Linked DNA regions of Oreochromis niloticus. The protein of the gene in region 2 purifies or fractionates together with the protein of the main gene of each other region. This does not show direct contact. Links are inferred from orthologs where the notes say so. Each region holds a gene or a part of one and is shown on either strand. Other genes may lie near its edges.

What was found.
Region 1: the proteins of anapc15 (region 2) and cdc27 purify together in Homo sapiens (affinity purification with mass spectrometry; 3 studies listed by BioGRID and IntAct, with this or other methods). This does not show direct contact. The link is inferred for Oreochromis niloticus from reciprocal best matches to the Homo sapiens genes ANAPC15 and CDC27.

What each region holds. Positions count from the first base shown.
Region 1 is NC_031969.2:35,399,781-35,408,018, reverse strand, and holds the start of cdc27 (cell division cycle protein 27 homolog), read left to right. Parts: upstream 1-4,727; 5' UTR 4,728-4,861; coding exon 4,862-4,900; intron 4,901-8,238. UniProt on the Homo sapiens protein: Component of the anaphase promoting complex/cyclosome (APC/C), a cell cycle-regulated E3 ubiquitin ligase that controls progression through mitosis and the G1 phase of the cell cycle.
Region 2 is NC_031979.2:11,650,651-11,658,098, reverse strand, and holds anapc15 (anaphase-promoting complex subunit 15), read left to right. Parts: upstream 1-4,441; 5' UTR 4,442-4,578; intron 4,579-4,799; 5' UTR 4,800-4,801; coding exon 4,802-4,921; intron 4,922-5,503; coding exon 5,504-5,563; intron 5,564-5,667; coding exon 5,668-5,808; intron 5,809-5,982; coding exon 5,983-6,030; 3' UTR 6,031-6,764; downstream 6,765-7,448. Other genes in the region: folr (folate receptor), read right to left, coding at 1-66. UniProt on the Homo sapiens protein: Component of the anaphase promoting complex/cyclosome (APC/C), a cell cycle-regulated E3 ubiquitin ligase that controls progression through mitosis and the G1 phase of the cell cycle.

The DNA.
Region 1 (8,238 bases), on a different chromosome or scaffold from region 2:
AACACAGGACTGCTTGAAGTGCAACGTGCAAAAAATGCAAAAAAACAAGACAGTGTAACTCTAGACAGAACAGGACGATACAGACACAAGACAACACAAGACAGTGCAATGGAAATGTGCAAAATGTGCAAATAGTAACCTGGTGTCTGAAGGTGTGTGTGTGTGTGTGTGTGTGTGTGTGTGTGTGTGTGTGTGTGTGTGTGTGTGTGTGTTTTTTGTCATTCCAGTCACTGGGTGTTCAGGAGTCTGACGGCTTGGGGGAAGAACTGTTCCGTAGTTTGGCAGTGAGGTACCGGATGCTCCGGTACCTCTTTCCAGAAGGCAGCAGGGTGGAGAGTGTGTGTGGGTCCTCCACAATGCTGTTGGCTTTGCGGATGGAGCGGGTTCTATAAGTGTCTGTGATGGAGGAAAGAGAGGCTCCAATGATCTTCTCAGCTGCTCTCACTATCTGTTGTAGGGTGTTGCGATCTGATACCAGGGGCGATTTTAGCCCATTTTTTGAAGCACCCCCAAAAATGGATCAAAGCACCCCCAAAGATTTCTTACTTTTTTGGAAAATATTTGCTGTTTGTGTGCCACACTACTAAAAATATAAAAAGCATTCAGTACTTGGTTGAGACGTAACATTTTAACAACAAAAGTATAGATACCCCCCCTCCCAAAATGGTTTGTTCCAGCTCGCCTCTCCCCTACTCTGGCTCTAGCACCGTTGCTGCCAGAGTGATGGTGGCTGACACGCAGCGGAGCGGAGGTGTGAGTGCTGGCTTAAAACAGGACATATTAGCTGCATTTAACCTTCACTTACTCTTTATATAGTTAGGTAGGAGTTAGGCCATGTTTCTTTTTAACTGAAAAACATTACACCCAGGCAACCTGCAGTGTTGGAAACGTGTTTTCCAACGATGTTTGCTACCCTACAATCCATCCTACTCTGTAGTAAAATCAGCGACATTTGACCGTCCTGTTGCTCCCATTGAAATTTAGCCTATTTAAAATCTAAAACTGAAAATTGTCCGTAGCCTGCTGTTGTTGCCACTGTCCTGTTTGAAGTGGAATGAGAGAAGCTGGTTATTTTGTCATATGTGCATGTGCCAATATTAAACCCAGGAGCCACATTCAGGTAAACTTGTAAGATTAAATGATCCGTCAATAAAGGATAATGTTGGATCAGTGTTTCAATATTTATATCTTTTATTAGATGTACATGTAGTTTGGTTATTTGCCATTTGGTTGAAAGTACACTGAGAGGGGACTTTTTTTTTATTAGTGTTCTTAATAATAATAATTTTTTTAATGTTAATGTAATTTTTTCATCTAATTGAATACAATCTATTTGTGTATGATTGTCAGTCCAAAGAGGGAGAGAGGAAAGAGGGGAGCGTGAGGAGAAAGTACAAGGTCAGGAAGAAACAGGTAAGAAAACAGACAGGGAACAGTGACATTCAAAACAAACTGTTAAACTGCTTGAGAGAGTTGACCACCAAAAAGTGATAGACAGATTTGCCAACCTCAAGGTGAGGCACATAGGTTAAATTAAAAGAAAAAATCTGCAGAGCCGTAGAAGTATCTGCAGTAAAGATCTTTTCATACATTGTATACATTGTACCATAGGCAAAGTTGCCTCCATTTTTATAATTTTTTCATCAATATTTTGTACATTTCAAGGACTCAATTTTTGGAGTGTATTTTTATATATCTGTATTGTATTATACATACACATTAAAAGTGAATCTCTGTCCAAAAAATGCACTCAGTTTACTTGTTACTCACTGTGAGCATCATTCATCATTTTCCCCCAGTAATTAAGGTTAGGATATGTATTTTTTTTATTATTATTCCAATCCATTCTTCGTTTGCAGCATTTAAATAACCTTTATCTGATTTGATGGTTTTGTTACAGACTTTAAAAAAAAGTGTTTTGCTTTTCTTTCACAAATATGGGGATTAAATTGTGTTAAAATGTACAAAACAATGATGTCATGTTTTGTGACGAGGACCCAGGCACAGAGAGACTTGATGAGTTTAAGAATCTTATGATTTAATAAAGAAATTTGCAGACTTGCACAGAACTGGTAAAATTATGATGACTGATAATGGAGATGAAGACAACAGACGATGAGGACAGGGAGGAACAGGGGTTTAAATGCACCAAAGAGACAGTCAGAGGAAACTCGGGACAACTGGAGACATTTAAGGATGCAGGGACTGACAGAGACAGGGAAGAAGTCTCATCGTGACGAGTAAAGTTTATCTTGCCTGGCTGGGCAGCTCTCTGGGTGCTCAGCACCCTCAAAGCTCTGATCCTAGAATCGCCCCTGTCTGATACGGTACAGTTACCATACCATTCACACACAGTGGAACTCACTGATGTCTTCACAGACATCTTCAATATATCACTTATCCAATATATCACTTATCCAGGCTGTCGTCCCCACATGTTTTAAAGCCACCACAATCATTCCGGTTCCAAAAAAGTCATCTCCCTCCTGCTTTAATGACTACCGTCCTGTTGCACTTACTCCCATCCTGATGAAGTGCTTCGAACGACTAGTCATGCAACACATCAAGACTGTCCTGCCCCCCTCCCTGGATCCCTTCCAGTTTGCGTATCGGCCCAACCGCTCAACCGATGATGCTATCTCCACTGCACTCCACTCAGCACTCACACACCTGGACAAAAAAGACTCATATGTTCGAATGCTGTTCATAGATTTCAGTTCAGCATTCAACACTATAATCCCCCAACAGCTCACTCAAAAACTGGTCCAGTTGGGGCTTAACACCTCTCTGTGCAACTGGCTGTTGGATTTCCTCACCGGAAGACCTCAAGCAGTACGGGTCGGCAGTAATACATCCAGCACCATCATTTTAAACACGGGGGCCCCGCAGGGATGTGTGCTGAGCCCCCTCCTCTTCACTCTGCTGACCCATGACTGCACTCCATCATACAGCTCCAACCTCTTCATCAAGTTTGCGGACGACACAACGGTGGTGGGTCTCATTAGCAACAGGGATGAGACCGACTACAGAAGTGAGGTGAGACGCCTGGCCACGTGGTGTGTTGACAACAATCTCTCTCTGAATGTGGAGAAGACGAAGGAGATTGTTGTGGACTTCAGGAGAATGCACACCCAACATGCTCCTCTGACCATTGACGGAGCGTCTGTGGAGAGAGTGAGCAGCACTAAGTTCTTGGGTGTGCACATCACAGAGGATCTCTCCTGGACGTACAACACCACAGCACTGGCCAAGAAATCACAGCAGCGTCTCTTCTTTCTCAGACTGAAGGACAGCTTCATCCATCAGGCTGTCAGGAAGCTTAACTCCCTCCCGATTCTGCCCCCTCTCCCCTCTCTCCTCCACGGTCTCACTGAACTCTGTCACACACACACACACACACACACACTCTCTGACTCACTCACTGGCCTGCACCAGTTATTAGTCACTTTGTGGAGCATTGGACCACCACTACCTCATAAGACTTTGTTGTTACACTATCTCCTACCGTACATTACCAAATCTCCATTTGCACTATTTGCCTATTTGCACTACCTTGCCTGGTTTACACCCAATGTCATTTACCCTTACCTGAATATTGTATATTGTATATTGTATAGCTTTTTTTTTGTTATATGTAAAATTGTACTGTATTTATTTAAATTTTTACTTTTTAATTATTCTACTTGCATTTTTAATCACTCTCTTATATTTAAATGTTCATTTGGGTTTGAGAGTAACGAAATTTCTATTCTCTGTATGTCCTGTACATGTGGCAGAATTGACAAATAAAGTTGACTTTGACTTTGACTTTGACACAAACACATTGATGGATGTATTAGGAGAAACTCGGGGTTCAGGATCTTCCCCGAGGATAGTCAATCTCCCCAAGACCACAACTGCCAGTTATTTAAAGCCGCCATTCTAAATGGCTCATGGCTTCATGTCAGCCAGTCTGCTGTTGCTACTAACCAGTCTGAGCACCAGGAGGCGACAGAACACTGAACACCGCTGTAATGAGTTTTACCACCAGAAGGCGAAGGAGATACTTCGGCTTTCTCCGTTTGACAGTCGTTCATGTCCGCCGCGGCATTTTCCCTCCTCGGGTATCTTCGGCGGTACTCGGTTGCTAACGGTCGGTATGTTCAAATGTTCGGCTGCAGCTCCTCCTGAGACTCAAGTGAAGAAAGAGCGGAGAGAAAAGAGACCCCCGGACCGGACAGAAGGAGTCTCAGAGCGGGATGACGGTGCTGCAGGAACCTGTCCAGGTATAAATACACACCTTTGGCTCGTTGTCACGCGTGGGGAGCGGAGCATTTATGAAGTTTGTGCCTGTCTCTGCGCCCCGGCCTTAGTGGTGGGTGCAATCCGTGGTGAGAGCGCTGTTCCTCGGCCGCAGGCCCCATAGAGGGCCGCTGACGGCACAGAGAGAGTTTTCTGCTATTATTGGTGGTCGTTAGTCCGTTAGTACCCTCTGTCACGGCCCGTTCGGGTCACGCAGAGCTTTTAATTTACACCCGGTACAACTGAGATATGTCATGCCAGCCACCTTTAAATATTTGTCAGATTAAGATTCCAGGTATTTCCGATCTAATTAAAGGGAGAAATTGGTCAGTTTATTTGATATTTCATGAATGGTTTTGTTCCGCACATCTTTTGGGCTCAGATCCAAAAAACGAACACGGTCTAATTTTAAAATAAAACCACCCGGAATCCGAACAGGTCCATCTGAAGAGGCCTGAGTCCGGCTGAGGGGAAATGACCCGCGGAGAGCGAACAGACCTCTTTAAAGTCAGTGTTTCACCGGAACCAGCTGTGGGTGGGTCACTGACTGTGAGCAGAATTTGTCATAGAACAGGGCCCGATGTTCTCAGGTATATCACGGAGTTTCAGATGTGTGCAGGTGAGAGTGCAGAGAGAAACGGTTGGATTTCAAATGGAGTTCTGTGTTAGCATGACTCGGTTAGCAGCTAACGCGGTTGCTAACACTCAGCGGAGTTTCAGTAAGGAGGAACTCTGCTTTAAAGTTCATAAAACGATCAAAGCCGCTCCTTGGGAGTCTGTTAATGTCAGAGTCTGACCGCAGATCAGCCGCGACAGATGAAGGTATCCCGCGGCCGTTAGACTCTCACAGCTAGCACAGGCTAATGGCAGCTAACTGCCCGGTAACATGAACCGCTGTTAGCTGTTAGCCGTTAGCTGCCATGTCAGCCGCAGACTGATGGGTAATGTCTCCTCACAGGTGTGTTTGTGATCTCACTCAGGTAAACTGTGACTGCAGAGTTAAAGTGAAGTGACGTCAGTAACGGAACAGCTGCAGTGATCGATCAGCGCATTGATCAATAACTTTCCTGAGCTTGACCCCATCGATAACAATCAGGCATAAACACGGCCCGTCTCACATGATGCCCTCAGATGTGTTTGGAGTACTAACCAATGGCAGCACACAGTGTTGCTCTAACTGCGGTATTGGCTATTGATTATGTATGGCTCGGTGTTAGCAGGTACAGGTGACACAGCCTTCATTTTAACCTAGAGTCAAAAACTGTTTACAGTCAGGTAAACCTGTACTGCTCGTAGTCCTTAAGCTTTCTACTGATCAATACCAGCGTTTGATCAATAACTGTGTGTTTACTGTTGAAATACACTGATTATAGCTGAGTGTGGGAGGAGATCACATTTGAGCTCCACAGCCAGTTTTTCCAGTCGTCTGGCTCTAAGGTCAGCATGGCCGCCTTGTGGTGGACTGAGACGGCTTCAGGTCCTTTTGTAGTAATACAGAGTAATGTAACAAGTTACTTTATTCAGTGAGTAACTAAATGAGATACCAAATTACTTATAAGAAAAGTAACAAGCTATCTCTAACACATTACTTTTTAAAAAATAAGAATAATTTCCAGCTGTTTGCAGTTCTGGCTCAGTTTGATAAATAATGTGGATTTAATGCAAAATGAATCTCAAAAGCTGGACAGATACACCAACACATCTGTGTGTGTGTGTGTGTGTGTGTGGAAACAGCAGGCTTACAGAAGCTCGTCTGTGTCTCCAGATGTAGAGGTGATGTGAGACACATCTGTGCAGCTGTGTGTCTGGTAACGAGGTGACTCGTGACTGAAGTTGGATGTTTTCTGCTCTGCTTGCTGTCATTGCATTGTTACAGTGAAGCGGGCAAATACATTTATGATGTCACTGCGTGTCGTTGTATCGTAAGTGGTGAGAACGGTGCTGTCTCTATGGAAACGAGCGGTTCTGCTTCTTTATCCAAGTTCAAACGGCCCAAATCTCCACACTCTAACTCCTCCCACCTCCTTTTCAGCGGCGTCCTCATCTTCAGAGTCTTGTCTGTCTTTTGGGACGTTGTCACTTTACTTTCCATTGATGTTTTCTGACGTCATTTCCTCATTCAAACTCAGGCTCCTACTGTTAGGACAGGTGTGGTCCTTCCACGCTTTGTGGCTCAGCCTATCCTGACCTGGCTTTGGTAGGGTGGGCAGTTGGAGGGTCGTACCAGTTGGAGCCCTTGAGCTCTGGATTCTGAACTCCTTGGTTCATAATTCATACATAAATCACTCGTACGTACTGTGACTATTTTGTTCCTTCTGCTGCATGGTTAGGTGCTGCAATCATCAAGGACAGAAAAATAATCTCTTTTTCTTCTTTTTTTTTTTTTATCACATTCCTGTTTTGGATAGAAGAATATGAACAAAAATGGATATGGGAATCTCATCCTCTTCCTCCTCACCTTAAGCCTCACTCCTGGACTGTAGTTGGGGCTCTAACATACCCATATGGAAAAGAAATAGTAAAAACTTATATGATTTACTCATGAAAGTGGCCACTTTCTCATTACTTTCATATATTGTTTTAGTAAGTATCCAAAACATACAAGTTTCATTTATATAATTTTTCAAGGGATCTTATATCTGTTTTCACTCTTGTATGCTTTTCATACAAGTTTCACACAAGACAGATACAAACTTTATAAGATTTATATATATCTTTTCCATATGGGTAAGAAATCCTACAAGAACATATTTAATCTCAACATTGTCACATTGAGTTATGGTCAGCAGATCAGACATGCGAGCATCTGAGACATGGCTGAACAACAGGATGATGTCACAAGCTGAGGTCATGCCAGATAACATTAGATTGTAGTGTCTTTAAACTAATTTCCCTCTGATCAACAGTTTGATTACGTTCTCACGTCATGAGAGTTTATTTGCTCAGTGCCACTGAGATAGATCCACTTCAAAAGAAGTTTCATATATGGCCTTGAGGAGAAGAGAAACTAACGGCAGCGCTGTACTCGGCAGTTCATCTCAGTGTCGCTGTCATCAATCACAACTGAGCTACGGCGACTCAGGGCTGGGATCATCACTGATTTCGACAACTGATTCAAAGTACCCGACTCGGTTAGATTCAATGACATTCTGACTCAGTCAGAAATGTCATGATGATGATCATATTTCTTGGATGTGTACTGTCAAAACAACCCTCTGAACCTTGTAAATGAAAAACATTTAATTCTAAATTATTTGAATGTTTCTCTGCGATTGCAAACTCAGTGTGAACTATCTGTGCATGAAAACAAAGTTGACACTGTGAGACTTCATCAGAGGTGTGAGCATCACAGCAGAGGCCTTTGTGTCAGAGTAACTGAGGACAGGTGTCTGTCAGAGGGCTAACACATAGACACACAGACAAACATTCACCCTTTGAAAATATTCTGCAGTAGATCAAAAAATGAACAAAACCATGAATCAACATCTGAACATAACCTGTAGACAGGTGCGTAATAAGCAAGACAGACAATCATCAGTCCAACAATTGACGATGGGCAATATATTTGCGCATGCTCAGACATTTTGATGGGCGGAGCAATATAATCATGCACGGACTGATTTGAGGACCAAACATAGATGAACTAATTTCCAAAATTAGGGCTGTCAGTGTTAACACGTTAATCCGGTGTTGACGCGATTAAAATTTGTAACGCTCGCAACCCATCCGAAGCTCAGAATGAACAAACTTTAGACAAACTGCCCAAAGTGTGTAGACATTTCAGGTTTTTTTGGCTCAGTCCGGTCCTGATGGGTTAGTTGTTAATCGCATTTGTCGTGATGACGGCGCGTTAACACTGACAGCACTAAAAGAATATAAAGTCACTTATTTGGGATGAAAGTTTACAAAATATAAGAAATAGCTCAGTTATAAATATTACAGAGGTGAAATGTATAC
Region 2 (7,448 bases):
GTTCAGTTTGTCCAGAGACATGGCTCCACTGGAGAGGGCAAGCAGCAAGGCCAAGACGGACCACATGACTGTAGGGGAAGGAAGCATCAACAGCAAGTTGTGGGAAAAATCTTAATATTGCTTATTAAGAGGCCAATAGTGGGAAGAAGGAAACAGTATGGGATAGCAGCCAACTCCCTGTGACCTCTAACCCGAGTCTGACAAACAGAATTTTGCTGACCTTAGTTAACTTTCTACCATCAGCAGGCAGGTGTCTGGATTGTTTGGTCATAGGTACTAATTGAATATTTTAACAGTATTTACAGTATTTAACAGCCCTGGTGTAGATCTCTTTCAGTAACAGAACTAGTCCCAAAGTTTAGAGTTTATGGTAATCCGGACAGTCCTTTTCTTTTTTTCTCTTCTTTTTTTTGTAAGAAGACTGATTTTAGCACGGTGGCCAGCACTGTTGCCAGACAGCAAGAAGGTCCTGAGTTCAATTCCACCATCAGGCCGGGGCCTTTCTGTGTGGCGTTTGCATGTTCTCCTCGTGTTTGCGTGGGTTCCCTCCGGGTACTCCAGCTTCCTCCCACCGTCTAAAGACATGCAGTTTGTGGGGATAGGTTAATTGATTAGTCTAAATTGCCCATAGGTGTGAATGTGAGTGTGAATGATTGTCTGTCTCTGTGTGTTAGCCCTGTGACAGACAGGCGACCTGTCCAGGGTGTACCCCGCCTCTCGCCCTATGAGAGCTGGGATAAGCTCCAGCCTCCCCGCGACCCTGAAAAGGAGAAGCGGAAGCGAATGGATGGATGGCATTCGGTCCCGATTCGATTCAATTTTGACTCAGGGAGAAATATTGTAATTCTCATCATTTATCAGTACATATCCACATTTTTATATCTATGTATAAAAACAAAGCTGACACTTGTGAGACTTTACCATCGGTGTAAGCATCACAGGAGATGCCTTTGTGTTAAGGTAAGTGAGGATAAAACTCAGAAAAACATGAAGGAGATTTTCTTGGCCTGGCTTTTTATAGCAGATAACCTTTAAAAATATTCTGCAGTAGGCAAAAAGCAGAAGAAAACCATGAATCAGCAGATGAACATTACCTGATGCTGAACAAAGCAGAGCAAAGTTACAGAGGTTTTATTAGAGAGCATTTTGCAATTCGGGATAATTTTAAAAAGTTTACATTTTTTTCATTGAACAACAGAAATTAGGCTTTCTTGTCGCAGGTCATTTTTGAAAAAACAAACAAACAAAAAACAGCAGCCGACAGCACTGAACACAACGGTAGACTGGTGCGTAATAAGCAGGCGAATAATGCAGAAAACAGAGATATTTCATGGTAAACTGGTCTCTTGAGTGCGCTGAGAGAGAGAAATAGCTGTGCAGGAAGTTTGATTTTATCGTGGTGGAAGCAAAACAGCAAAAGTCAGAGGGAATTCATGACGATGTTTATCAAATGCGAAGCATAGTTTTGATCTTCTTTTGCAGCTGGTTCAGTGAATTGTGGCCAGAGATTAATGAAACCTCCAGCTTCATAATCTTTCAGATGTCGGTTTTCAGCACCGACGGCACGCACGTGGACATGATCCGCGCTTTGTGTTCACTTCTTTTTGCGGAATCCGTTTACCTGCACTTTGTGAACCTTTTATCTAGAAAGGTGCTATATAAATAAATCTTTACTTAGTCTTTTTTACTTACTTTGTCCCACATGTGATTTTTCTCTCTGCTAATCTGACTTTCGGATTCTTTTAAGTACTAAACATAATACATGAGAAAGGTTTACCCACAATGCCACAACAATTAAATTGTGGCTCCTGAATGCAGTATAAAAATGCAAAAGGACACAATGTAAAGTATAAAGTGAACTCTGTCAGAGAGCAAATGTGCCTCTACACCTTTTTGCGTTTAAAACCCAAACATTATAAACATGAAAGATAAACTCACCAACGATTTTGTAAAGCTCTAATCATCATATATAGACGAAGTAATCCATATGCATGTAAATAGAAGTAGCTGTGTATTATCGTATAGTTTAGAAACAAAAAGTAGATGCAGCTGTGGTGAAAATTCATTTAGAGACCAAGTAATAATGAACAAATTCCCTTTACCTTTGGATTTGGTGATGACTCCTTTTTGAAGGGATGATCCTACAAAGCAGTATCTGCAGATCCCCTTTAACACACTTCTCAAGACCAAACAAGAATTTCCAAACACTGATTTGTGCCCGACTGCGTGTTTGTGTGTGTGCGTGTGTCGGACTGTGTGGGCAAAGTGTGAGCGAATGAATGTGAAAACTTGCTGTGCTTTTGACTAATTAGTTTTCAAAGTCCAAAGTCCATATCACGTGTGTGTGTGTGTGTGTCTCTGTGTGTGTGTGTTTAAGATGAAAGATGTAAGGAGTAGACATGTGACAAATTCAAAGACACCCCACCTCCAATGATACGGGTATCCAGTAGCTCTGATTTGCTGTGAACTTCAGGTCTGGGTCCCCTGGTCCCCTTCAGAGTGGTGGGTCACTTTAAATGACTATAATTACCATGTTCTAAGTTATCTCCATTACCCTATGATGAAATACTTCTGACCTGATTGGACTAGTATTCTCCAGGTGATTGTGCCTGCATCTGCAAGGTACAAGAGGTCACTGAACTGCTCTGATAATTATGAAAATGAAGTCAGTTATATTTTATGGCTTTCACAGTCACATGCACTCAATCAACATCTATGGGAGATTTTGGACCACCATGTAAGACCGTCCTCTCCACCGCCATCATAAACACCAAATGCAGGACTATCTTATAGAAGAGCGTTATTGCATATGGTCAGATAACTGTAGAACCAGTACCAGGCTATCTTTAAGCTACTTTAACACTCTTGATGTTGGATTTTTCTCTAATTTGTTACCAGTCTGTAGTTCCTGTGAGCATGTGATTTTCTAGTTTTATAACATCTGGCCATGAAGAATATCAGTGTTATCTCAAGGTCTAACCTGCTCACCACCACCCCCCCACACAGACACAGACACAGACACACACACACAGACACACACACACACACACACACACACACACACACACACACACACAAGCTGTCGTGACATGGCAGCGTGACCTGGAATGACAATAAGAAGATCAAAAGGATGGTAAGTAAGATCTTTTTAGTGCTGTCATCATGACAAAGAAAAATTAAACATTACAAGCACCCTCAAGAGAGTAATGTCTTTGCATGTGCATAAATGTGCTTATGCTTGAGGTTAACGTTTTAAACTTACTGATAAGAATGTTCAACTTCAGCAGCATTTACAGAAACCAGCCATGAACTACGACAGAAATTCTGTTATCTCAGCAGCTTCCTATAGTTTGAAAGAGAGATTGTGTTAGGGGTTGCTTAAAGCTGATATACACTAATGACATAATACATACTGCCCTTACTACTACTACTACTACTACTACTACTAATAATAATAATAATAATAATTTATGGCAGATGCTACTCTTCCAGACAGATACAGTACTGTGCAAAAGTCATGACTCACCTCTCATTTCTTTATATTTTGCTTCCAAGAAATCAGAGTATAAAGTGATCTTGAGGTATAGTTCTCCAACCTCTTCGAAGGTCTTTCAATGTGTTTTGAAAACTATTTTTTTTCACTCATCTTCAATCCAGTCCTGGTTCCTTACAGTTTAAAGAAAAAAGTTTTCTTTGTTTGTTAAGCCACTTACCACTGACCTATGAATTCATCAAGCATATCAATCATTCACCTAACTCAAGGGATAAACAAATGTTGTGGCTACATGTAGTCGATGAAAGATGGTTCAGTTGATCCATCTACTGTTCATCAAAGCTCAATGGTCTTAGTGGAAGGGTGGCTGTCGAGAAACCATTCTTAAAGAAGAGCAACAGGGAGAAAAGACAAATTACACAAGCACTGGACTGAAAACCAGTGGAAACAGGTCTGATGGAGTGATGATTTCAAATTTGAAATTCTTAGTTTAAATCATTATGCATTTGTACACAAGAGGTCAGGAGAGGTAAAGCAGTGAGTGTCTAAAGCTATCTGTAAAACATGGTGGTGGCTATGCAAAAGGGAGCCAACATGCCGAGAGGAGCTTTGAATGTCTTTCAAGAAGCCTGGCGAACTATTCCTGAAGTCTACTTAAAGAAAGGACAAGAACACTTGACTAGACTAAGGGATCTCTTTATCCTCTTTTTATATTCAGCTTCTGTGTTGTTCTTCCAGTTCAACCTGTTGTTGATGATGATGACATCCCAGTTCTCCTTCAGCTTGTCAACACCATTTTCAGGATAGTCATAAAATGAAATGAAATAAAGACAAATAACATGTTTTATTGCATATACGGATCGTTAATATCGCTGTAACACATTTTAGTTAAAGCTCATTAGTGTTTCTACTTTATTTAGAACCTCTCGTGCCACAGATGTGGCTCACGCTCCGAAAAGGGAACCTTTATGGAGAGCCGCTGGAGAAAAGAGGACTCTTTATGGGTGAACACCAGCAGTTTCCGGTAAAATTTGTTTTGAATTTTTTGTCGAGCTGCTGACAGGGACTCAGACTGTGGATTTCGGGTAAGGTTAAGCACGATGTTATTTTATTGTTTGATTATATCACATCATTTTCAATCCACAATATCAGGGGAGTGTTAGATTTTAGAGTCTGTGAGTCTGGAGGACTTTTAAATCGACCGTTAATGACGTATTAGCTGTTCCTCTGTCGTTTGTTGTCTTAACGCAAACTCCGGCTTCAGTTTTCTTTCTGTTTTGTGGGATTTATTTCTGTTGTGTGACAGAAATGTCCACGCTGTTTCCGTCGTTGCTGCCCCGGATAACGGAGTCTCTGTGGTTTAATCTGGACCGACCGTGTGTGGATGAGACCGAGCTGCACCAGCAAGAGCAGCAACACCAGACCTGGGTAAAGGCTCCCCAGAGCAATTATAGACTTGTATTTTCCATCTTTATGCTATTTTGTTGCTTGCAGTTCACTTACGATGCGTTTATATATTGATTTTGCGCATGTTAGTTTGTAATTTATTAGTTTGAGTATTTGCGAAAGGCTAAAAGTCATATAGAAGTCATATAGTCTGCTATAATTACTTGTGGCTTTTTTATTTTTCCTTTATCAGAATCAAAATAATAAATAAACTTATAAATAAATCTTAATCCCAGGAGGAAATCATTCTAACTTGAAATATAAATAAGAGAAACAGAAAGTGTAAACACTATATATATAAAAGAGTAAAACTAAGGCACTCAAAGTGCAATTTTTAGTCAAAATTAAATGTTCCAACGTTAAAACAATACAATACAATACTATACACAGTACGGTGTGAAAGATTGTTCAGTACTTAGCATAACTTGGACAGTATTGTCCTTTCTGAAACCTCAGATCAGTCAAGCTCCACAGCTGCAACATCTCTGGCCATGCATGATCAGTCTATGCATCCTATTATGAGACTTCATACACTTTAATATGTGCAAACTGTCTCTACCGTAGCTGCAGAGTATTGCTGAGAAAGACAACAACCTGATGCCCATTGGAAAACCAATTTTTGAGGTAACGGAAAAAGAATTTTAAACACAAAATAGACAAAGTGTGAAACAGAGTGGCTACATACTTTGTTCCCCTCCATTCATGCTCTCTGCATTTACTGGGTGCAGGCAGGCTACGAAGAGGAGGAAGAAGAAGATGATGAAGATGAAGAAGACAGCGAGGAAGACTCAGAAGATGAAGAGGACATGCAGGACATGGATGAGATGAACGACTACAATGAGTCACCTGATGATGGCGAGATCAATGAGGTGCTTTTCTTTATGATTTGAATAATTTTTTTTTCCAGGCGACAGTGTCACAAACCCAATGGTCATGAGGTGTTTTAGTGTTAAGACTTGGTAAAAATACATGTATCTAAATTTAATTCCATTTCTTTCCTTTACCAAAAATGCCTCTAATCTAGCTTGGTTTCTTTCTGTCAGGTGGATATGGAAGGACCAGACCAAGACCAAGACCAGTGGATGATTTAAGATGATACTGGTTTTCATCAGGCCGGCCCTGGGTTTCCACTCAATGCTTAAAATACAACTACTGCTCTTCAGTCTCTGACATGTTTTTATGTGTGAAATTATGGAAAGAATAATACTGAAGAATCACCATAAGATACTTTGAGAAATCAGTGCATTTTTCTAACTTAAATTTAATTACAATTGACAGTGTGTGATGGTGGAAAATAATCAAAGTGGCTCCAAGTGTGTGGTGCTCTTAAGTAGGTGTTGTTTTTGTATCAGGAAAATCTTCACGCAGTGGTAGCAGCAGGCCCAGTGATCCATTATGTAAACCTTGAACTTTTGCTATCTACAGTTATGCAGAGCAGCGTCTGTAACCAGCAGACTAAGCATAACCATAACGTCAAGTCAGCAAAATAACTTATTGAACTATGCAAGAGTCACCCAGTTGCTTTACCATATAGTCCTGTTCTGTTTCCCAGCAGTGTTTTGTATGTTACAGAAATACCTTCAGCAGAGGATTCATAAAACCCCAGGACATGTATTCTGTTCAGACACTTTTTATATTTTGAACTATGTCGGAAGCAAAAGATGCTAACAAATATTTAAATGTGAGACACAGAGTTCTGTCATGGTCATGTTGTAGAATATTTAACCATGGCATTCCCTACTTCTACTGAAGTTGTAAATTATTTTAACTGAACCATGTTTCTGTTTTTGTGTATTTGAATTTATTAATAAAATATAAGAAAATGTGACGCGTCACTTGTAGTTCAATAACAATTTTGAGAATTTTGGTGGTGGGATGTCCAAGGTTTATATAATTAGACTTTAACTGCAGGAAAGATTTTAAGAATTAATGCTGGCAGTTATCATCTGAAGGAAGACGGGCGATTAATATTAACATAAACTTTAATAAAAATGTAATTTTAATTTAGGTTTAATTTGCATTTAGATTTGCATTAAATTTTGGAGTGTGAGTCTTTCAAATTTGGGAGTTAGAAAAAAAAGAAGCCTTAAAAAAGTTGTTTATTTGAGTCTTTAAACAAAAAGAAGACATGAGATGCTGAGAAGTCACAACAAAGTCCCAGTAGAATAAAAGGTGATTGGAGCTTATAAGACACCTAAACTGGAGATTCTATATATAGAAATATAAACAAAGTGTCAGCCTTTTGTTTTAAGATTTAATTTAGCTTTTTTTGTTTTTGTGGGTAAATGTTGCAGTAACTGATCTCTTTTGAAATCGGTAGGGCACTAGGTCAAGCTCCTTCTTTACCCAGAATGCACTAGTAAGTTATTTTGCAATGTATTTCTTCACAGGTTGAGCTGTATTACACAGACTAGAAATTGAAACGATACCCCTTTAGATGAAGTAATACAGAAGAGAATCATCACAACTTTCCCTAAGAATTTGGACATTTCTGTTTCTGAAGTGTGTG